Caenorhabditis elegans: one gene and its partners. The protein of the gene in region 3 purifies or fractionates together with the protein of the main gene of each other region. This does not show direct contact. Each region holds a gene or a part of one and is shown on either strand. Other genes may lie near its edges.

Region 1 (6,482 bases), on a different chromosome or scaffold from region 3:
AGCGCGTTTACAGCACTTCATCGGTGGGAAATTTGAATTTTTGACTCAAAAAATTTTTTTCTGCAATGTAAGGGTGAAAAATCCGCGTTTTAATGGAATTTTGGCTAAAAAATCGCAAAAAAAACCACAAAATCCCGGATTTTTTACCAAAAACTCCAATAATTCGGCGGCTTCTGTGTTCAAGCTGGTAATTCCGAGCATTTCAGCGGCGGTTTGTGTGAAAATCGGAGTCTGGTGAGCAGCGGGCTCTTCTGAGGTTTTTGTGGGCGATGGGCGCCGTATTGTTACGGTTTTTGACATTTTAAGTGGCGAGGAGCTGAAATTTCAGATTAAAATTCATTTTCCCGTCGACCGCATGTCGCAATCGCGCCCCGATGCCAATTTATCATTGGAGCGCGATCGCACCACCAAATCGTCGGGAAATTCAAATTTTCCTCTTAAAATAGGTAAATTATGGGTGGGAAACCCGAAAAAGGCGATAAAAAATCAGAAAAATGAGAAAAAAATCGATAAAACTATTTATATTTTTTTTTTAAATTCACACGAGTTAGTTTTTCATTCAATAAACGGGGATTCTGTACAATCTTTGATAATATTCCGCCGAGTTTCCATTTTCTGCACAATTTCGACGGGATGGTCCCGTGGGACGGTTCGCCGGTACCACCACTGAAAAAAAAAATCGATTTTTGGGTGGAAAATTGGCTATTTTCTCAATGTAGCGCACTTGCAGCACGCGGTCGGCGGGAAATTTGAATTTTTTGTTGAAAAATACAATTTTCAAGCTGCAAATGCGCTCCAATCGACAAAAATCCATATTACCCCGCCGGCGAGCGGTCGATTTTCGGAATTTTCCTCGATTTTCGGGCAAAATGTGCTCATAAACGTCCATTGCACGTCGTCGTAGATTCCTGAACGGAAAAAGGGCTTAAAATTGAAAATTTGACTGAAAGTCCAAGTTTTTGGGTGGAAAAATGAAAATTTGGGCATAGCTTCCGCATCTCCGGTGGCAAATGTGCTCTACGGATAATCCAGGGCTGGAAAATACGGATTTTAATGGATTTTAAGCTTTTTAGCTTAAAAAATCATAAAAAATACTTGTTTTCGACCCCAGATTAGGCGTAAAGAACAGAAGCCACAATTTTTACTTTTTAGGGAAAAATCCGATGGTTACTGTAGCTACAGTACCCCCAAATCAGAAAAATGCTCCATTTTAGGGAAAAATAGGCAAAAAACCTTCGAAAATTCATGTTTTAACCGGCTAAAACATGCAAAAAACGCCATTTTTTCGCGAAAAATCCAATTTTTACCAATATATCTCCGTTCTGTGGGCTTCCAGCGAGTATCGGGTAGCACGAAATGCGGCTTCACACGTTGATTCAACGCAAAACCCTCCGCGTCCATAAGTGCTCCAAAGAGCTCGCGAATCTCGTCGACCGTCGGTTTTTCAACGATTTCCACACGTTTTTTCGGATTTTTCGGGAAATATTCCACAATTTTTGGAGTTTCCGCTGCTTTTTCCGGTTTGTTGAGGCCAAATGGTTCTGAAAACAGGATTTTTATACGAAAAATTCAAATTTCGCGGGGATCGCACGCTGCAAATGCGCTCCAATGCGAATTTTCGCCGATTTTCGCATTAGAGCGCATTTGCAACATCTAAACCTACCCAAAACGTTTTGAATCGATTTTTTCAGCGATTCGCTGTACTTTTTTGGAGTTTTCGGCAAAATTTCACCAAATGTCCTCCAATTTTTGTCGATTTTCTCGATTTTTATGCCCTCGGCAAGTCGATCGATAAAATACGAGTTGATAATCGATTTGGCCTCGCGTTCCGGTAATTCGCTGGAAAAAATCGATATTTTTTGGCTGAAAATTTGAATTTTTGATCTACCTGAAGCATCTGTCGAGGATGAGATGTCGGAGCTTGAATTGAGCACTTTTCGAGTTGAATTTCAGGCAATTCGTCATTTTTCTGCAAAAAAATTGCGTTTTTCCGGGTAAAAAAGCTGAAAACGAAAATTTGGGCATAGCTTCCGCATCTCCGGTGGCAAATGTGATCTACCAGTAATCGGGGATAGAAAATACGGATTTTAATAAATTTTTCTGCTAAAAATTCATTAAAACCGGTATTTTCTACCCCCAGATTAGGGTAGAAGCACAGGAGCCACAAAAAAATATTCGAAAAATGGTGCAAATGCGCTCCGATGCAAAAATCTGAAGAAATTTGCATTGGGGCGCATTTGCAGGAGAGAAATTTAAATTTCAATCAATTTTCCACACAATTTCGGCATTTTTATGAGTGTAAGTGCGCTCTAATGATAAATTTGCGGGAAATTTGAATTTTTGGGTTTTTTAACGGATTTCCTGCTCAAAAATGCCGGAATTTCAAATTTTTCGCTGAAATTTTCGAGATTTCCGTACTTTTTCTTAACCTCTCCCTTTTCCGGCTGCGGTGGCACAAATCTCAAATCATTTTTCGTAGTGGTTTCCGCTTCTTCCGGCGATTTTTCGAGCTTCTTACAATTTTGCAGAATCTCATTATTTTCCAGTACAAAGCTTCTCTGTGTGCTGGCGTGGGCGAGGTAATTCTGGAAAAAAAAAATTTTTTGCAAGTTTTTGAGTGAAAAATTCAAAATTTGGGCATAGCTTCCGCATCTCCGGTGGCAAATGTGCTCTACGAATAATCCAAGGGTAGAAAATACGGCTTTTAATGAATTTTTGGCTCAAAAATAACCAAAAATCCATTAAAATCGGTATTTTTGACCCCCAAATTAAGGTGGAAGCACATAAGCCACGAAAATTCGATTTTTTCAGTTAAAGTGCCAATTTTTAGGTAAAAATCGCGGGAAAAAACACGAAAATCTCAAATTTTTTGCGTAAAAATTGGTAAAAAATCACTAAAAAACGAACATTACACAGAGTGACGTCATAGCCATACCATTTGTATGATGACGTGGCAAATGTGGGGTCGGCAAGCACATTAATCAGTGAGCCAATGCTGACTTTTTCGAGAATATTCGAGTGGCAAGACGTCGAATCAAAGTAGATCGATTCGGAATTTTGCAGGAAATTCGCTTCCATAAAATGATTTTTCATAATTTTTGTGATGACAGCGGCGCCGGATCGGCCCGGCGAATTTCGGCACTTTTCAATGACGAAAAATGGGATTTTATCGACGTTTCCGTGGATTTCGACGCGGAATGGTACTGCCGCCAGGATAACGTCCACCATTCGATTCGTGTTCTCTCGGTGTCTCTGGAAAATTTGAATTTTTGGTGAAAATCCGCTTTTTTAGCCCAAAAATTCAAATTTCCCGCCGACCGCAAGCTGTAAATGCGCTCTATTGCAAATTTTGCATCGGAGCGCATCTGCAGCATGCGATCCGCGGGAAATTTGAAATTTCAGGTTTAAAACTGATATTTTGAACGAAAAAAGTGAATTTTGAGTAGAGATATTCTGTGTAAAGTAGTATTCTGACGGGAAATTTGAATTTTTGAGTTAAATTCTATCAATTTCAACCCAAAAATTCGAATTTCTCGCTGACCGCAAGCTGCAAATGCGCGCTAATGCAAAATTTGCATTGGAGCGCACTCGCAGCACGCGGTGGGTGGGAAATGTTTTTTTAAGTGGAGAATGCACGTTTTTCAGCCAAAATTAAATTTTTCTTCGAAGAAAATTGTTTTTAAAAAAATTTTTCAATGAAAAATCTAATTTTCGGCAATAATTTATTTAAAATTCACTTTTTCAATTAAAAATTCAAAGGCAAAACCCCGTTTTTTTCGCAATTTTCTCAATAGAGCACATTTTTTCCGTTGGAAAATTCAAATTCCCGTACATCTTTAATCTCGAATTCGGTGCGTCCAATGCTATGCGCCTTTAAGGTCTCGTAGCGAATAACAGGCGAGCAGTTCGGATGGAAAGCTACAGTAATATTTCGTTCGGTGACTCCAATTGCGACGCCAGCAGTCGACGGGGAGTTGAATGTGACGAAAACCTGCTCGCGGAGCATTGCACAACCTGAAAATTTGAATTTCTCATGATTTGTTCGGTGGAGCGAGCTTGCAGCATCCGGTCGGCGGGAAATTCAAATTTTTAGGTTATAAACTTGAATTTTCACCGAATTTTCGAATTTGCAAGTGTTTCAGGGTGAATTTTGGCGGGAAATTCGAATTTCCGGGTCAAACTTACACTTATAAACCTCCATTTTCTCGATTTGCACTATAATATGATTCCCGCGGACCACCCGTTCGAAGCTCCGGCTCCAGAAGATCTGAACGACGGATCCCACACCGATTGGGTCGAAATTTGACGGATATTGTATACACGTGGCTTTTGAGAAGATAAAATGAATGCCGGAATCCTGAAAATTGCGAGTTTTTAAATTTTTTGCAAAAAAAAAATTGGAAAATCATGGTTTTTTTTTCGATTTTTAACTGTTTTTTCGTCGTGTTTTTAAGGCAATTTTTGCGATTTTTATCAATAATTTGCATATTTTAGGACTCCAAATATCGATTTTCCCTGGAAATTCCCTTACATCAAACGCCTCCTGCGTAATAACCTCTCCGGTACCATTCGAATAGCATATTATGACACCAGACGAGCTTGAATCTGAATTTACAAGCTTTAAAATCAAATTTGGCACTAAAAACTCACAATTTGCGCCTTCAAACTGGTCTTCTTGCTCGATTAAATTGAGTTTTGACTCGGATTCGTGCGATTTCACCCGTAATGGTCGACTATTTACAAGAACGGGTTGCATACCTGAAGAAAAATCGGATTTTTAGGAATTTTTATTGATTTTAACAGAAAAAATCAGAAAAAACGGGAGAAAATGAATAAAAATAGCGAAAAAATCAGCGAAATTAATTCAAAAAATCGTGGTGGCCGAGTCTAAAGTCAAAATGGCCTAGAAAACCCCTCCTCGGCCACCATTTATTTTTTTGAAAAAAATTGTTTTTTATCGATTTTCGCCAGTTTTCCGTCGATTTTCTCCATTTTTTCTCATAAAATCTATAGAAAGTTATTTAAATTTCAGATAATTATGTCGGGAGCCTCGAAAAAAGTGAGTTTTTATCGTTTTTCAAGGATTTTTCGCAGAAAATCGATTTTTCTCTATTTCCAGGTATCAGAGGAAGAGTTGCAGAAGCAATACGCAGACTATCGAGCTCAATTCGAGCAGTGGAAGGAGAATAATAAGTGGGAAACTCGAGTTTCGGGGAAAAATTGCAAATTTGGATGATTTTCAGGGGTTCCATTGGCACGGAGGCTTATAATTCGTATGTACAGCAATTCGAGCAGTGGGAGAAAGAAGTGGAGGCGAGAACGTCACAGGTTCGTAAAAAAAACCTAAAAATTATAGAAAAATCTGGAAAAAAGACAATTTTTGACCCAAAAATGCTGAATTTACTTTAAAATGTTCAATTTTCAGCAACAAAAGCACCGAAAAGCGGCGGCAGTTGACAAGGAGGCAGAAGCGGCGGCGGCCGCCTACGCACAATCACAAGAAGCCTACATGGCACATCATTTGAGAGGAATGGAGCAGACGGAAATGCAGAAAAGAGCCGCTGCTGCAGCTCAGCTCCAGCAGCAACAAATGATGCAGAATATGATGATGCAGAGACCGCCACGTACGGTTTTTAACCGGAAAATTTGAATTTTTCGCTGAAATTTGCATTAGAGCGCATTTGGAACAGCCGAAATTCAAAATTCCGTAAAAATTTGACTTTTTCGCCGATATTTGCATTGGAGCGCCCTTGAAACACGGAGAAATTCAAAATTTTGTAAAAATTTGATTTTTCCACCAAAATTCGCATTGGAGCGCACTTGGAACATTCAATATTTCAAAATTTTATGAAAAGTTGAATTTTGAACCGAAAATCTCAGTTTTCCGCTACAATTCACACTAGAGCACATTTGCAGCACCGAAAAGTTCAATTTTTACGAAAAAATCGAATTTCCCGCTGAAATTAGCATTAGAGCGCACTTGAATCACTCGGAAATTCAAACTTTTGTTAAAATATAAACTTCCGCCTAAAATTTGCATTAGAGCGCACTTTAGACACTAGAAAATTCAAGAATTCTGTGAAAATTTAAATTATTATTTGAAATTTGCATTGGAGCGCACTTGAAACACTTGAAAATTCGAAATTTTGTGAAAATTTGAATTTTTCACCAAAATTCGCATTAGAGCGCACTTGAAACACTTGAAATTTCAAAACTTTAGAAAAATTTTGAATTTTCCGTTAAAATTTGTATTGTAGCGCATTTTAGACACTAGAAAATTCGAATTTCTCGCTAAAATTCGCATTAGAGCTGATTTGCAACACCGACAAATTCAATTTTTAGGAAAAATTCGAATTTACCGCCAAAATTCGCATTAGAGCGCACTTGAAACACTCAAAAATTCAAAATTGCCAAAAAATTCAAATTTCCCTCTAAAATTCGCATCAGAGCGCACTTGAAACACTCAAAAATTCAAATTTTTA
Region 2 (7,976 bases), on a different chromosome or scaffold from region 3:
CGATCCTCGTCGTCAATTGAAAGATGATCATGACGGTCAGAATCGTTTCATGTATGCTACAAAATTGGGTGATATTGCTGCAATTAAACGATTCCTTTTGATGGGACATGATATTCATTGCAAAGATTATGATGATCGAACAGTTTTACACGTGGCTGCTGCTGAAGGAGACGTTGTCACATTGGAATACGTATTGAGTAAATGGCAAGAGGATCCGAATCCATGTGATAGATATGATAGAACTCCATTGGATGATGCTAAACATTTTAATCATACTGCTTGTGTTAAGCTGCTAGAAGAGGCAATTACGGTTTACAATCTTAAAGGACAAGATGATTAGGAATAGATGTTCTAGAAATTGATTTAAATTAATAAATCATTCCATTTTTTGTCATTTGTTAATTTACAGTCAAATTGTTGGAAGAAAAATTGAAAGATCAATTAAAAAAATAAAACTAAATAGAGCTTTATATTATTCAAGAGATCGAATGAAAATTGCTCGGTAAATAGAACACGATGAATGATATTAAAATAACAAAAAAGATTAAGAAAAATTGAATTCTCGTACAAGTTGGAAATCCTTGAGATGATCATTGAGCTTCTGGTGCAACTCCCTTCGTTGGTGGTTCTTGTTGAATATGGCTGAAAATGAAAGCATTATTATGATAATAGAGAGTTTATCCGTATTTTTTGAGCTTCGAAAGTGTTAAACAGAAAAGGAATCACAATCCAGAGCACACTTACAATCTCTTCATCTCGAGTTGCTTATTGTGTTGTCGTGAGTCCAAATCAAGAACAATCTTCTTTTCGATATTTTCTTCAGTATCGGAGAGCGCATTCAACATGATTCTCTGTAAATTCGTACAATTTTTAAATAATCAAGTGACCAAAATCTTACAAAGTCATCCTCGATTGCTTCTGAAATATAAAACAGATCCTGTTCCACATCCGACCATTTTGCTTTTGTCATCGAGGAATAGTCTGATTCTTGAACAAATGTCAACGCCTTGACACTGAGTTGCGGCAAATAGGTTCCTCTGTAGAAATGTTGTTTTATAAGAAACGACTTTTAAATAAATTAAATTTCAATTACCTTATTTTGTAAGCTCTTCCAACATCCAACTTGCAATGGAAGCATTTGATATCACTGAGTGGTTGATTGTCCTCACTCAAGTACTTACTCACCTTTCGCTTCTGAAAAAATTCAATTTTTCACAATCACAAATTGCGTTTCTATGATAAACAGAAGTCGGCTTAGCTGAAAAAAACATTTACTTGAAACATCTGGAAATTGCACAAAAATAGCCTGAAAGTCAATTGTCGGAAAGCAAAGTTCGGAAATTCAGCAATTTGATAATCGGCAATTCGACACTTCCAGGTAATTTTTAAGCACTTTATAAATGTTTCAACCTGAATAAGTTAATTTCAGATGAATAAAGCGATTTTTTTACTTTAAAACGATTTTTTAGTGACAGAAATTTTTTTAATTGTCTTTTTTTTTGAGAAATTTTAGGTTTCGGTTTTTTGGGAAAATGGTTTTACAGCCCTGGTCTACGAGTATAATCTTACAAAATTCATTAAAATTATATTTTCGACAAGCCGGCTCCGGTTTTTGAGCATTCATCAAACGTACCGATTCAACATGCAAAAATCTCCATACACTTGGATCGAACACCATGTAATTCGAGAACACTTTTTTGATATAAATACTCTTGCAGAACTCTTTTGAACAATTGCTGCACATCAATTTATAAATCTTATTCTCATGTCGTAATCTCAAATTGAGTTGCTCTTCCAGATTTCGTTTCCTTTCAGCCGCATTTAGTTCAGCGACTCGTTTCACTTCTGCAGCCAATTGTTTCTCGCCATTCTCTGTGATCTTCTTCACACAAAGTCTCATATACTTTTCAGAGATTAACGCGTTAGTCTCGGTTTCATTGATACTACTCTTCACTGATAAAAGCACAGAACGAGAGTTTTTGGCACGTGCACGACCTCTTTGTTGAACAAGTTGAATGGCTGATCCTGATGAACAGTTGTACTTGATAATAAGATTACATGCAGTAACATCGAGACCTTCTTCAACAACTGACGTTGCCACAATTACTTTAAGTCTTCCATTGTTGAATTTATCAAGTGTCAATTGTTGTTCTTGTGAAGTCTGCTGTACAGCGCCCTGTTTGTTTGTTCCGAGAACATATCCAACCATTTGTTCACCATAATTACCAAATTGATCTAAAACTTTAGATTCGTTCAAGAAATCACTGACACGTTGAGCGGTGCTTCTTTGTGTTACGAAAATAATAACTCGAGATTCAGGAGCCACGTGGAACTGATTGGTGAGTGTATTCTTGAGACGTAGAACAATTTCTGGTTCAACGGATTGAATTGTTTGTTTCAAAGTATCATGGTCTTTGATGAAGGTGCTGTATTCGACTGTCTCTGAATGACTTTCATTCAATTTCCCAATAGCTTTTTCCATGTATTTGAATGCAACCATCGCAGGCATCAGATCAACGATTCCGCGAGCTTCGAGATATACCTAAATCATTTCATTTACAAGAATCTTTGAAAATGAATCAAACCTTCATGTATTTCGCCCAAGTTTGAGAATTCCATTTCTCAGGAACATTCAATTTGTTCAACTCTTGAATAATACCTTGAAGTAATGAATCGTAGTACTCATAATTCTTCGGTTGATTCTTTTTAAACGTGTTAATCATATTCGGTGGGATAGTGTTGTTGCGGCCAGTTGATTTAGACATGCTTGCTAATTCTTCGAGAAATTTGCCATGGGCGTGGTTAAGGTATCGTTCGATGTAATCTCGAAGGATATTTTCTTTGGCAGGCAAGCATAGTTCGACAGCTGAGAAGAATTTTTTTGAAATAATTCTCTCATGAAATTTCATATTCCGAAGAGAAAACAAGTAATTGGTTATTTTTGGAATAGAGTAAATGAGGAATTTACTTTGAAATTGCCGGATTAGCTTGAAGTTAAACAATACCATGAGAAATAAGGGAAAACAAAGGAAATTTCAATACCGTGGTTTTGATTCTAAAGTGGGTTTTCAGCTTCCGAAGGTTTTTTTTTTCAATTCCTGTTTACAACACTTCATTTAGAAACCATTTTTCATTTTACAAGAACAATTTACAATTTTCAAATTTTTTTGAACTGTGTAAACTTGAAAATAAATATTTTTATAATTTGATACACCTAGAAATTTATCTTATTTGTATTTTAAAATTTATTTATGGTTTTTAAGAAAAAAAAAACTAAATTTCCAACTTGAGAACAAACTTACAATCATCTGGTTTTCCAACATGCTCATTGAGCTCATCTATGCTCGATTGGCGAGTGATTGTACTCAAATGTGGAGCGTTGATCAATGCGAGCATATTATAAATATCATTAAGCATCTGATTCTCGTCTTTTTGTCCATCAACTTTGACACTCAATGAAGCTGTCAGACCAATGATTTGTGGTTTTTCATACTTCCATTCTTGAACCATTTGATTAATCAACACATATGGATGATTTTTTGCAGCTTTATGTACTTCATCGAAGATCATCATTGAGAAATCACTCACATACAAACGCTCATTTTGACGTACCGATTGAAGCATGTTGCTGAAATAATTAGTTCGGGTATTATAAAAACCAGAGCTCGATCCGAAAAAATTAAACATTTTATATATCTTGATTAAAATTGCACTCTTTTTATAATTTATAATTTTTTTTGAAAAAAAAAAGTAAAATAAAAAATTAATGAGTTATATCAGAAATTTTCGATTCAGAATTTAATGAACCTGATTCCATTAACTCACATCAGAATTTGAGGAGTCATAACTGATACATGAGTAGCAATTACTTCATCACGACGTCCTGTTCCACTGACACTGCTCTCGGATCCATGAAAACCATTAACTTCGTACATTCCGTTACAATACTTCAGGAATCTGTCTTTTTGTTGACCGACAAGCGGGATTTTCGGCACAAGGAGCACAACCTGGAAAATAAAATTTTATTGCTTCTATATCAAGGGGAAATAATATTAGAACTTGACGAGAAAATTAAAAAAAAAACATACTCTGGAAGGCTTTCCTTGGGATGTTCGTTCTTCAATATGTTTGAGAGCCGCATAAATTGCCACTTCTGTTTTACCAGAACCAGTCGGAGCAACAATAACACAATTCTTTCCTTCGAGAGCCGGTTGGACAAGTTCTTCTTGATAAGTACGCAATACAAGTTCAGTAACCACCGCATCTGGATCTGGAAAAAGGAAAATTTGCACTAAATGTTGGAAATATAATCTTACTGTAGCCGCTGTCTTTCGGTTGTGGACGTATTGTCGTGCAAACATCCTCGCCGACAGCTTCCTCGTTAGTCCGCTGACTTTTCAGTAGGGTAAGGCGGATACGGTCACGTTCTTTCTCTCGTTCTTCTGAAAATTGATTTAGTTAAGCCTAGATTGTAAATCGAAATTCGTAAAATACATCAAATAGCATGAGATGGCCGAATAATAAAAAGTTAGGCATTATTTAAAATTGTATTAAAATAATTTCAGTATTTTGAAATCTGAAGTACAAAATGTTTGCCGCTATTTAATTTCCAAACAAAAAAAAACTTACCAAGCTCTTCTGGCCAGTTCTTATCCAAAAAGTAGAGAGCCGCTCGATTAGCTGGATCATTCTTCATTGCATCAATAAATCCGTAATACCACTCTTCGTGTTCATTTTTCTCTTTTTTGTCATTCGATTTGAATCCGATGATTGCGAGAAACATGGTGAGAGTCTTATGAAGACTCCATTTCTTCACAGCATATTTTTTCTCTTCTCCATTCTCGATTTTCAGCTCGAACGCTGGTCCTTCGGTTAGCAAATCTTCGACCAAATCAGTTGATAGTTGATGATTACCTTTGTTAAATACTTCAAAAGCGAGAATTGTAGTTTCACTAACACAACGTGGATTCGATTTCAGATGCTTCATAATAATCATTCCACGTGCAGCTCCAGCCACTCTATCAAGCTTCTGATATCCAAATGGATTATTGGTAACTTCCTCTTCATCGTAGAATTTATTTTTGAAAGTCTCAGCAGTTAACCAGCCATCAGGAAGATCTTCCCAGTGTGAGTATCCATAAAGTTCTTTATCGTCTGAATTTTACAGTTCAAAACGTTTGAAATTTCACGATTACTTACAGTTAAACATCACTTCGTCAGCAATTCTGAGTCCCTTCTCATCGAACAAAACAGTGTTCAAAAAACATTCCGAGAATCTTCTCTGAAATAAAAATTATTTTATTAAATGTTTTTCAAAAGTGTTTTTACCCTTTGAACTTTCTGCTGATGTGCGTGACGCAATGTAACGTATGTTTCTGCCTGTTTTCTGATTTTAACGTCGAGACTGAAAAATTGGTATTTAAAAAAAATATGGCACGAAAATTCCAGACACCATAATACTTTTTTTTGACCTTTTAAGCTTCTGTGACTCGAAAACTCACGATATTTAAACTTTTTATAAAAATTTAAGTCATTAAAACAATTTTATGTTTTCAAAACTCCGTTTCGACATCCTTGCCGTCACAGATATAGATAACACCGAAGAAATTGTTTTCGTTGGAACGTTTTTCTAATACATGATTTCTCTGTCGTCTTACTCGGCATTTCTGATTTTAATCATGTCCGGGTCATGAGAAACTGGAGTTGGCTCGTCAATGATCATTCTGGCAATTTCTTCCAATTTTCCTGGCGGGAACAGCGATTCAAATAGTTTGAAATATCCGATATCGTTGTTTCGTGTACTCTCCACGCATACATCAAGGAATTTCCATCTAAAATAATATTTAATTATTTGATCGAGTGCAAGGGGGGAAATGTATAATTTTCTTACTTGAGAAGACGAAAATACGCTGGAAAATATGGAGACTCAAACGGAAGGCGAAGCTTCGATTTGTCGTAATCTTCTAAACGTATTGCAGTTGGTTGCATTATCGAAAATATCTGTAGGAAATTATTAAATTAAATTTTGCCGACAAAACGACAAAAAGACATGTTGTTCAAACTGGCGCACAAAATATAAACAAGTGTGGCAGAGGTTTTCACATTAATGATTTTCTCTTCCTCTTGCCAATGATAAAAAGTTAAGAGGGAAATACATGAATGAACAGAAAACCATTATTAGTGTTAAAGAAGGGCAAGTAGTGTCAGGAAGGGAAGTTTTGGTTTCAGTATTCAATATTTAACGATGAGCAACGGCGGAATCAATAAAATTAGTATTTAAATTCTACAACATAAATAAATGTTTTGGCTCTTCAACCTTGTGAGAAAATAAAATCATAATATTTAAAACAAGAATAAAACTTTCATTAAAACTGCAAATTCACGGGAACCGGTGATGGAAATACGAGCAGCTGCCAACAGAAAATGAAGAAAAGAAAAGGAAATTTGAAAGATAGAACAGAAAATAAAATTCTTTCGGCAGGTTGTTGGGATGAATTTCAGCTGATGAATGGCAAATTAATACGAATAACTGGATGAAAAGAAAACATCGAAAATAACATTTTACAACGTTAAAACGAATCGTTGATGCACTTTTAAGCGTCTGGCTTTAGAAGTTCAGCGGAGTTCCTGGCAGCTTCAGCAGCACGGTCGGCGCGTTCTGAAAGAAAATAAGAGAAATGCTTTTTTTCGATATTTAATAAATTATCCATATGAAAAATTGTTAAATTCTTTCTTTACTCAAAAATCGAGTTTTAAGCGGTTTTTTGTAGGATTAATTTTCTAGCCATGAATAAAATACCTTTTTTCACAAAACGCTGCCTTTCGATCTCAATGCGCCATTCGAGAGGAAGTCGAAACCATTCTTCCACAGGATGTTGAGCAGTGAATGCTTCATCGGAGAGAGGATCATCTGGATCCACGTCCACATAGATACTTTTCGACGTCTCTTTCATATTGTCCAATGTAGAGTTTGAACAACTTAGTGATGGATTTTTAGAAATATTTTTATTTTCTGAAATTGCGAAGGTTGTTAAACTTGTCAACTTTTCTTGTAAAACGAACTTTTAGAGGCTAAGTATTTTTGGAGGAACTCTTTTGGCAACCGTTGGAAAATGTAATTCGGGTAGAACTTGGCGAAATTTCCTGTGTTCTCGTACTCCTTCAAGCACTCCTCTACGGTCATTGTTGGCTGAGAATAATGCTGAGAATGATTCTTTCGGGACCCACTTGATTTATTTTTTTTGTTGCCCATCTGGAAGATGAATATCAGCATAAAATAGGACACGGGTAGGGCTGCAAAACCTCGGTAAAGTTAACGTGTTAAACAATAAAAAGTAATACTAATATGAAAAGTGTCATAACATGTAGTGCATATTTCTGGTTAAAACCAATATTGGATAACAATAAAAACCTATAGAACAAAACTTTAAAGCGTTTATTAGAAAACACGAACAACGATACTATAGCTCTATAGAGAAAATTTTAAAGGGAAATGAAATAATCTTAACAAAAAAAAAAAGAAAAAAAGTTCGTCACTTGAGCATTTTCAAAATTTTTGAATAAAACTGTTGAACTCATCACGATGATGAATGCATTTGTGATATGTTACAAGTATTGCACGAAGATTACATCTGGAAAATAAACTCAGTTATTGGAATTATTTAACGGCATTTCTAAAAAAATAAATTACCTTGTTCGAGTAGCCGTGTTTTTCGCGTAGCCGATAAATTTCATTGATTACTGGCTCATTCAAAAGAGCCCACTTATCGTCCGGGTAGAAGCCGTACAAACAGTTCTTGCCACATTGTGCTAAGGGTTTCAGTGGGATTTTCTCGTTATCGCATGATACTCCGTCAATTGACTCGTCCTCTTCTTTCCGTTCAACTTTCACATTGTCGGGGTCTTCAGCCTCCACCGGCTCATCGTTGATCACAGAATCGGAACAATTACCAGCAGTTTCTGAATCCATATGATCT
Region 3 (7,684 bases):
GCGGGTTGCAGTTCGATTTCGTGTGTACCCCTTATGTGTGGCGGCGTATGATGAAGGGGGCACATACGCCCGGCGTGCAGGTCGGTACGCAAACACCGTGACGCACAGATGCACACGAAGAGAGACTCGACGGAGACACGTTGTAGTTTTTGGAGAGTGGCGGGGTTTTCGTCTCAATTTATATTTATTTTTGACGATTTTTTCGGCGGAAATGTTAATAAATATTAATTTTGTTTGAATTTTCATTGATAATTAGGCATTTTCTTCCTAAAATAGTGGAAAAATACCCCCGAAAATACCGTTTTACTTCCCACTAAACATTTAAATGCATTTTAAAGCATTTTCCTTTCAGAAAATCGAAAAACCATGGGCAAGCTCACCAAGGAAGAGGAACTTCTGCTCTCGAGCTACTCGGCGACCAGCTCCACCAAGGGAAACCTCTTCTTCTACCTCAACGCGTTGATCATCTCCATCGCCCCGCTCTACCTCTTCTACGGAGTTCACCAGATGGAGGTTAGCCGGAAATTCTATCGGCTAGGAAAACCTTGTGAAACGCATTAAATTTTCAGATCCAAGACTCGCTTGTCGTGTGGGGACTCTCTGCCGTCGGCACTGCCTACCTCCTGTCCCTGGCCTGCAAAAACCAGAAGTGCCTTCTCAAGCATCAGTGAGGGTTTTTTTGAATTTTTAAAAATCGGAAATCGATTTTTCACCCCAATAAAAACCCCCAAAATTTTCAGAATCGTGATGAAGCGCGGATCAGCTGTGGAACGCGAGATCAGCGGACAATATGCTGCTGACAAGAAAATGACTGTTAAGGAGAAGGAGGAGCGCGCGCTTTTCCGCAAAAACGAGGTCGCCGACACCGAATCCACCTACTTGTCGGTCTTCTACACAAACTCGCTCTACTTGACCATCATGCTCGTCTCGGCGTTCTTCTTGCTCGCCAACGTGGCTCCAGTCTTCAACTTGCTCATCTCCACCATCGGATCCGCCGGACTCGTCGCCTTCCTCTCCACCGCTAAGAACTAAGCGATCTTTACAAACGGGACCCCCCTTTTTTTTCTCAAAAAGTTTCATGTATTTATCATAAAAAACGAAAGTTTAATTTATTTTTCCCCACCACCCACCCGCAGATTTTTTGTATAATAAATCCCAAAAACTAAAAATGTTTATTTTTTTCTTTTTTCCCAAGAATTTCAGGTTTATAATCCAGTCCAAGCTGCTTTTTTAATATGATTCTGCTCGTCCAAGAGAACTACACAGCTGTTGGGGCAACTGCGCTCCACTGAACAATTATTTTAGCGCGATTTTCTGATTTTTAACATTAAGAACAGCATTTTTCGATAAAACGCCATATTTCATACCATTTTCAGCGATTATAATTAATATTAAACGATTAAAATCGATTTTCGCCAGCGAAAAACACCAAAAATTAAATTTTCACCTCAAGACCAGGTGCTGCAAATGCGCTCTAGTGATAATTAGTTGAAAAACACGGGATTCTGTTAAAATATATGATTGTCTAGTTACAAAATTTGTGAAAAATGAAAAAAAAATTAATTTACAAAGTTTTTCTCATTAGAGCGCGTTTGAGGCATGCGGTCGGCGAGAAACTTGAATTTTAATTGATTTTTAGTGATTTTTAAGTAACAAAGTGTTTAAAAAAAGAAGAAAAATTCAAATTTCCCATGCAAGAAATTTTCCATCAAAAAATCGGATTTTCAGATGCTCTCGGAGGAGCCCTACGAAACGTATCACCCGGAATTTCCAGATCCAGAGATTCGACGAATAGCTCTAAAAAGCTCGGCAGTCGTCGAGCTGCTCCGAATCGAATCACCATCTTCATTTTTCTGCCGTCCCGTCGATCATGTCACCGATGATCAATTATTGATTCGCGAACCGTACCGCCTAACAACTCGAATTATCGATTTTTCGGCGGGAAACATGGCGATGGCTCCGCTCCGGCCACGTGTATTCGCTCGATGTTTAATTTTGAAAAATTTGGAGCTTATCGAGGCCGCCCGGATTTTTTTCATCGATTCTGCGGTCACTGCTAATGTTTCGTGGAAATGTCTGTTTCAAATTGATGAAAATCTCAAATTTCACCCATGGCAGGCGATGCATTGCACTTTGGGACGTTTGGTGCACCTTTCGGTCTGATTTTTAGCACTTTTTAACCCAGAAATTCAAATTTCCCGCCGATCGCATGTTGTAAATGCGCTCTATAGAGCAAAAATGTGTGCATTTTTCCTGATGAAAATCCACGGATTTCTGGCTGGCTTACCTCATAAATTATTGAAATGGAAGAGTTATTGCCGAACTAGGCCATTTTGGCTCGGCCATATATGGGGTAGATTTACGGCGCGTTGCGTGTCGCGTCGCGGTTCGATTTTAGTTATAAAACTAATGCGTTTGTCCGTGTGGAGTACACGGCTTTCCCACGCGTTGTCCGGCAGGCGATTGTCAATGGAGCGCGAAAAATTCGAGGAAGAAGACCAGAACCCCGTGAGAAATTCAAATTTCCCGCCGTTGCAAATGCGCTCCATGGCAAAAATGTGCATTTTTCCTGATGAAAATCGTAAAAAATTGACTGGAAAACTATAAAATAGAGATTTCCATCTGAAAATTCAAATTTTCAAACGAAATATTGAAAGTGCGCTCCATTGAGAAAAACCGGACATTTGAATTTTTGAGAGGAAATTGGGGTTTTTGATGGTTTTTTAACCTAAAAATGCTATTTTTCAGCTAAAATTGACCTGAAAAATACGAAAAAATCCAACAATAAACGGAGATTTTTCATTGGAGCGCACTTGCAACACGCAATCTGAATTTGAATTGCCCGCCAAAAATGTTTTTAAACAATTTACAAAAAAAAAATCGATTTTTTGAAAATTATTGATTTTTCAAAAATTATCGATTTTTTCAGGACTCATGGACAGACACCCAGTGCACCGAATTTCGAAATATTGTCTCTAAATTTGCAAAATTTCAAATTACCGCCAACCAGTGTGACGTGGATTTTCGCTCGGACCGCCCGTCTCTTCTCGTGAACCTGTACGGATTGCCAAATGGAACAGAAATCGATAAAAAAGTGGCGATCGAGGAGATTTGCGCGGTTTCTATGCAAAATGTTATGGTCTCTCAATTTCCCACTAATTTTATGGGTATAATTTTTGAATTTTTGGAAAAAAAAAATTTCGCGAAAATTTCAAAAACCCGAAAAACCCGAACAAAGTTTATATAACATTCGAATTCAGCACGCCGAGAGCTTTGATTTAAGTATAATCATGACTATGGGTTACGAGTAATTGGGTCCCACCACGAAAATCCCCGGGGTTACTGTAGTTTTTCGTGGTGGGACCCGGAAAATTTTCAAAATCAATGGAATCTGGTCATGATTATACTTAAATGGAAGCATTCAAACAGCTGAATTTGAATTTCATAGTTTTGTTTTAAAAAAATGAAAAATTTCCGAAAAATTTGGGTCTCGCCACGAAACCCCGAAATTTTTGGTTTTTCCGCTATTTTTTTGGTTTAAAACATGGAATGTGTTTAAAATGTCATAAAAAACTAATTTTTCTCAAACATTATCTAAAAAAAAATCGAAATTTGGATTAGTTTTTCATAGAAAATGTCAAAAAAGGAATAAAAAATTCAAAAATTTTTGTAAAAATCAAATTCACTACATTTCTAGCTTCAATTTAAGTATAATAATGACCAATTTTGCTAGAATTTGAACAAAAAATCGGGTCCCACCGCGAAAACTACAGTACCCCTGAGGTTTTCGTGGCGGGACCCAACTTTTTTAAAGATTTAGCAAAAAAGGTCATGATTATATTCAAATTGAAGCTCTCAGTGAGACACAATCAGTCGAAATATGAATTTTCAGAAAAAAATTAATTTTGAAAAATTTTGGTTAAAAAAAAAAAAATAAAAACATTTTTTTTTTTTTTGAAAATTTTTTTCCAGTCAATCCCAAGCTCGAGGAGCTCGACAAAGAGCAAGACCACCTCGACGTGATTCTTCTCGAAGAGTTCCGCCGGGACCTCCCAGCCGACTGGGCTCACGAGCCGCCTGCCGATTACCGTGAAGACGACGCCGACTGGGATATACTGCAGTGCCACGTGGCAGAATGGAATGACACGGCACTCGAGCAATTCCGAAGAGCCGATGGAAGCTTTTGGGCGATGCTCGAGCCGAGTTGCACCGTATCACCCTGGGAAATGCACGTTACACCGATTTTGGCACCGGAAAAGATGTCTGGTACGGTGGAAATTGAACAATTTTGCTCGAAATTCTGCTTAAACTCGCGAAATAAAGCGAAAAATTGAGTAAAATGGCGAAAATTGACCCAGAAATTTGAAATTTCCCGCCGACCGCATGTTGTGCAAGCGCGCTCCAATGAGAAAAGGGATAGCGGAGCATCGTACTGAGCACAATTCGAATTTTTTCAGATAATGAACATTGGATTTTCGAGCAGCTCGTAAAAAACTCGGAAAATCAGCAAAAAATCGACGATTTCTACTCGAACCTCAAGAATCAGCGGCCGCTAGAGATGGAAGAAATGTTAGAAAATTTCGAATTTTCAGTGAAAAATGTGAAAAATATGCGGAAATCGATTAAAACCTGAAAAATTATGCTAAAAAATCGATAAGTTCGCCGAAAATTTGAACTTGGCGCTGTTTTATCGATGGAGCGCATTTTTAACGGCGAAAGATTGAATTTTCCGCCAAAAATCGATGTTTTGAAGTTTTTCTCAATAGAGCGCACTTTCAACAGCGAGAAATTTGAATTTTCCACCAAAAATCGATTTTTAAAAGTTTTTCTCAATAGAGCGCACTTTCAACAGCGAAAAAATTGAATTTTCCACCAAAAATCGATTTTTTAAAGTTTTTCTCAATAGAGCGCACTTTCAACAGCGAAAAAATTGAATTTTCCACCAAAAATCGATTTTTTAAAGTTGTTCTCAATAGAGCGCATTTTCTACAGCGAAAAATTTGATTTTTCGTCAAAAATCGATGTTTTTGCTTTTTTCCCAATAGAGCGCATTTTCAACAGCGAAAAAATTGAATTTTCTACCAAAAATCGATTTTTTAAAGTTTTTCTCAATAGAGCGCATTTTCTACAGCGAAAAATTTGAATTTTCGCCAAAAATCGATTTTTTAAAGTTTTTCTCAATAGAGCGCACTTTCAACAGTGAAAAATTGAATTTTCCGCTAAAAATCGATGTTTTTGCTTTTTTCTCAATAGAGCGCATTTTCAACAGCGAAAAATTTGAATTTTCCGCAAAAAATCGATGTTTTGAAGTTTTTCTCAATAGAGCGCATTTTCACCAGCGAAAAATTTGAATTTTTCGCCAAAAATCGATTTTTTGAAGTTTTTCTCAATAGAGCGCATTTTCAACAGCGAAAAAATTGAATTTTTCGCCAAAAATCGATTTTTTGAAGTTTTTCTCAACAGAGCGCGATTACACCAGCGAAAAATTTGAATTTTCCGCAAAAAATCGATGTTTTGAAGTTTTTCTCAATAGAGCGCATTTTCACCAGCGAAAAATTTGAATTTTTCGCCAAAAATCGATTTTTTGAAGTTTTTCTCAATAGAGCGCATTTTCAACAGCGAAAAAATTGAATTTTTCGCCAAAAATCGATTTTTTGAAGTTTTTCTCAACAGAGCGCGATTACACCAGCGAAAAATTTGAATTTTCCGCAAAAAATCGATGTTTTGAAGTTTTTCTCAATAGAGCGCATTTTCACCAGCGAAAAATTTGAATTTTTCGCCAAAAATCGATTTTTTGAAGTTTTTCTCAATAGAGCGCATTTTCAACAGCGAAAAAATTGAATTTTCCGCCAAAAATCGATTTTTTGAAGTTTTTCTCAATAGAGCGCATTTTCAACAGCGAAAAAATTGAATTTTCCGCCAAAAATCGATTTTTTGAAGTTTTTCTCAATAGAGCGCATTTTCACCAGCGAAAAACCGATTTTTCTATTTAAATTTTTTCCAGAAAATTCGCCCTCCAAACCGGCCGAACCTACGTGATGGCAACCATCAAAAATCGCCAAAAATCGTCGGCTCAATGGCTCCGTTGCGAGATTATCGATTTTTTGCCGAACGCCAACGTGGCTCTTCGCTACGTGGATCTGGGAACACGTGGCATCCTGAAGCTCAAAAATTTGCACCGAATGCACATTGAGCACACAAAAATCGCGCCGGCTTGCATTGAAATTGGCCGATTTCTCGACGACGATTTATCGATGGCCGACAGCGAAATGGAGTGGAATACACATTTTTGGCGTGAAATTGTACCCTATGACGTGCCGATCGTTGTCGGACCCGATATGGGTGAGAAATTTACGGATTTCTCTCTGGAAAAGCGACAAAAATGCAATTTTTGCATGTTCCTGTGCGCTCCATTGATAATTTTACCCGAAATCACAGAATTTTACCAAAACTTCACTATTTAACTCAAAAATTCAAATTTCGCGCCGAGAACACCTGAAATTTTGGTTTTTTAACTGAAAAATTCGAAATTTTCATGGGATTTCGCCGATTTTGCAAAATTTCAAATTTCCCGCGCCGGCGGCCTCGTGTCCCAAATGCGCTCCATTGACAAAAATTCTCCTGCGGAACAATTCGATCGATTTTCAGGGGAAAATGCGCTCCATAGCTAATTCGCGCGAATTTTCGTCAAAAATCGATAATTCCCATGTGCGGAATATATCGGAGCATCGTAAAAATCAATAATTTTCCAATCATTTCAGAATTCCTGGAAACCGGCAAACTGCAATTCTCGCAGATTCGGGTCGCCGGCGACGAAGACGACGAAAATTTGCTCGATAAAATCCCGTCGCCGTCGCCGTTTTTCACTGAACGATCCGACGATTTACGTACCCAGAAAGAGGATGATGATGATGGAAATGTTAGCGACGATAAGGATAGCGGATGATTTTATTGATTTTTTCGCATTTCTCCCGTGAAAAATTGCAAAAAAAAAATCGATAATCCACTTGCCCGAGAGGAGTACAAAATCGATAACATAATTTTTTCCTGTTTTTTGTCATGTATTTTATAATATCGATCTCCTCCTCGTTTTAACGATCTGTTTGTTTTACGTGAACGTGTTAAATTATCGATTTTTTACGATAAAAATCAATAAATCAATATTTATTCCAATGGAACAAGCAGACACGTGTATTTTCCAGCGATTAGCGTAGTTTTCATATCTTCCGAAAGTGGGTCATCGGATTGTTGTGGCTGGATTACGAATGTTGGGATCTGGAAATTATCGATTTTTTGGTAGAAAATAAATACTTTTAGTGAAAATTTTGAAAATTTTGACCAGGCGTAGGTTTAGGCTTGGGCTTAGGCTGAGTCAGGCTTAGGGCTTAGGCTTGGTGTCAGTGACGAGCGTGAGCTCTCGACAACCAACTCGACAACCAAACCGGGATTAAGTTGAAATACTTCCCTTGTTAGGAACAAACCCAATTTGAATAAATCATAGGAAATCCCCCCAATCCGACAAGCCTAAGGGCCCGAAAAACATACTAGGATTCGGGCCCTTAGGCTTGTCGGATTGGGGATTTCCTATGATTTATTCAAATTGGGTTTGTTCCTAAGTCTAAATAACCCTTTTTCTTTTCTTTTGCGCTCCAAGCGCAAGGAAAAACCTTCTTGTAGACTTTTT

The links. The genes of interacting proteins can lie anywhere in the genome.
Region 1: the proteins of eri-5 (region 3) and eri-3 purify together in Caenorhabditis elegans (affinity purification with mass spectrometry, with the first as the bait; one study listed by BioGRID). This does not show direct contact.
Region 2: the proteins of eri-5 (region 3) and drh-3 purify together in Caenorhabditis elegans (affinity purification with mass spectrometry, with the first as the bait; one study listed by BioGRID). This does not show direct contact.

What each region holds. Positions count from the first base shown.
Region 1 is NC_003280.10:1,121,810-1,128,291, reverse strand, and holds eri-3 (Reverse transcriptase domain-containing protein), read right to left. Parts: upstream 4,759-6,482; 5' UTR 4,757-4,758; coding exon 4,651-4,756; intron 4,606-4,650; coding exon 4,532-4,605; intron 4,358-4,531; coding exon 4,186-4,357; intron 4,015-4,185; coding exon 3,833-4,014; intron 3,253-3,832; coding exon 2,908-3,252; intron 2,586-2,907; coding exon 2,419-2,585; intron 1,970-2,418; coding exon 1,889-1,969; intron 1,840-1,888; coding exon 1,664-1,839; intron 1,542-1,663; coding exon 1,308-1,541; intron 909-1,307; coding exon 820-908; intron 667-819; coding exon 556-666; 3' UTR 501-555; downstream 1-500. Other genes in the region: taf-6.1 (Transcription initiation factor TFIID subunit 6), read right to left, coding at 148-300; sut-1 (SUppressor of Tau pathology), read left to right, coding at 5,039-5,059, 5,120-5,193, 5,244-5,328, 5,426-5,624.
Region 2 is NC_003279.8:7,818,855-7,826,830, reverse strand, and holds drh-3 (Helicase ATP-binding domain-containing protein), read right to left. Parts: upstream 6,001-7,976; 5' UTR 5,989-6,000; coding exon 5,891-5,988; intron 5,832-5,890; coding exon 5,658-5,831; intron 5,405-5,657; coding exon 5,329-5,404; intron 5,282-5,328; coding exon 5,200-5,281; intron 5,155-5,199; coding exon 4,630-5,154; intron 4,443-4,629; coding exon 4,317-4,442; intron 4,271-4,316; coding exon 4,089-4,270; intron 4,008-4,088; coding exon 3,826-4,007; intron 3,629-3,825; coding exon 3,303-3,628; intron 2,867-3,302; coding exon 2,586-2,866; intron 2,543-2,585; coding exon 1,634-2,542; intron 1,195-1,633; coding exon 1,094-1,194; intron 1,038-1,093; coding exon 899-1,037; intron 852-898; coding exon 745-851; intron 643-744; coding exon 591-642; 3' UTR 453-590; downstream 1-452. Other genes in the region: glna-3 (Putative glutaminase 3), read left to right, coding at 1-340; D2005.7 (NAM-associated domain-containing protein), read right to left, coding at 6,594-6,658, 6,800-7,012, 7,063-7,252; D2005.4 (TPR_REGION domain-containing protein), read right to left, coding at 7,626-7,631, 7,691-7,976.
Region 3 is NC_003282.8:2,389,093-2,396,776, forward strand, and holds eri-5 (Tudor domain-containing protein), read left to right. Parts: upstream 1-1,728; coding exon 1,729-2,157; intron 2,158-2,929; coding exon 2,930-3,167; intron 3,168-3,972; coding exon 3,973-4,266; intron 4,267-4,457; coding exon 4,458-4,569; intron 4,570-5,381; exon of another isoform or gene 5,382-5,444; intron 5,445-5,591; exon of another isoform or gene 5,592-5,654; intron 5,655-6,004; coding exon 6,005-6,342; intron 6,343-6,761; coding exon 6,762-6,946; 3' UTR 6,947-7,164; downstream 7,165-7,684. Other genes in the region: trap-3 (Translocon-associated protein subunit gamma), read left to right, coding at 367-513, 570-667, 741-1,032; Y38F2AR.10 (Major sperm protein), read right to left, coding at 7,165-7,275.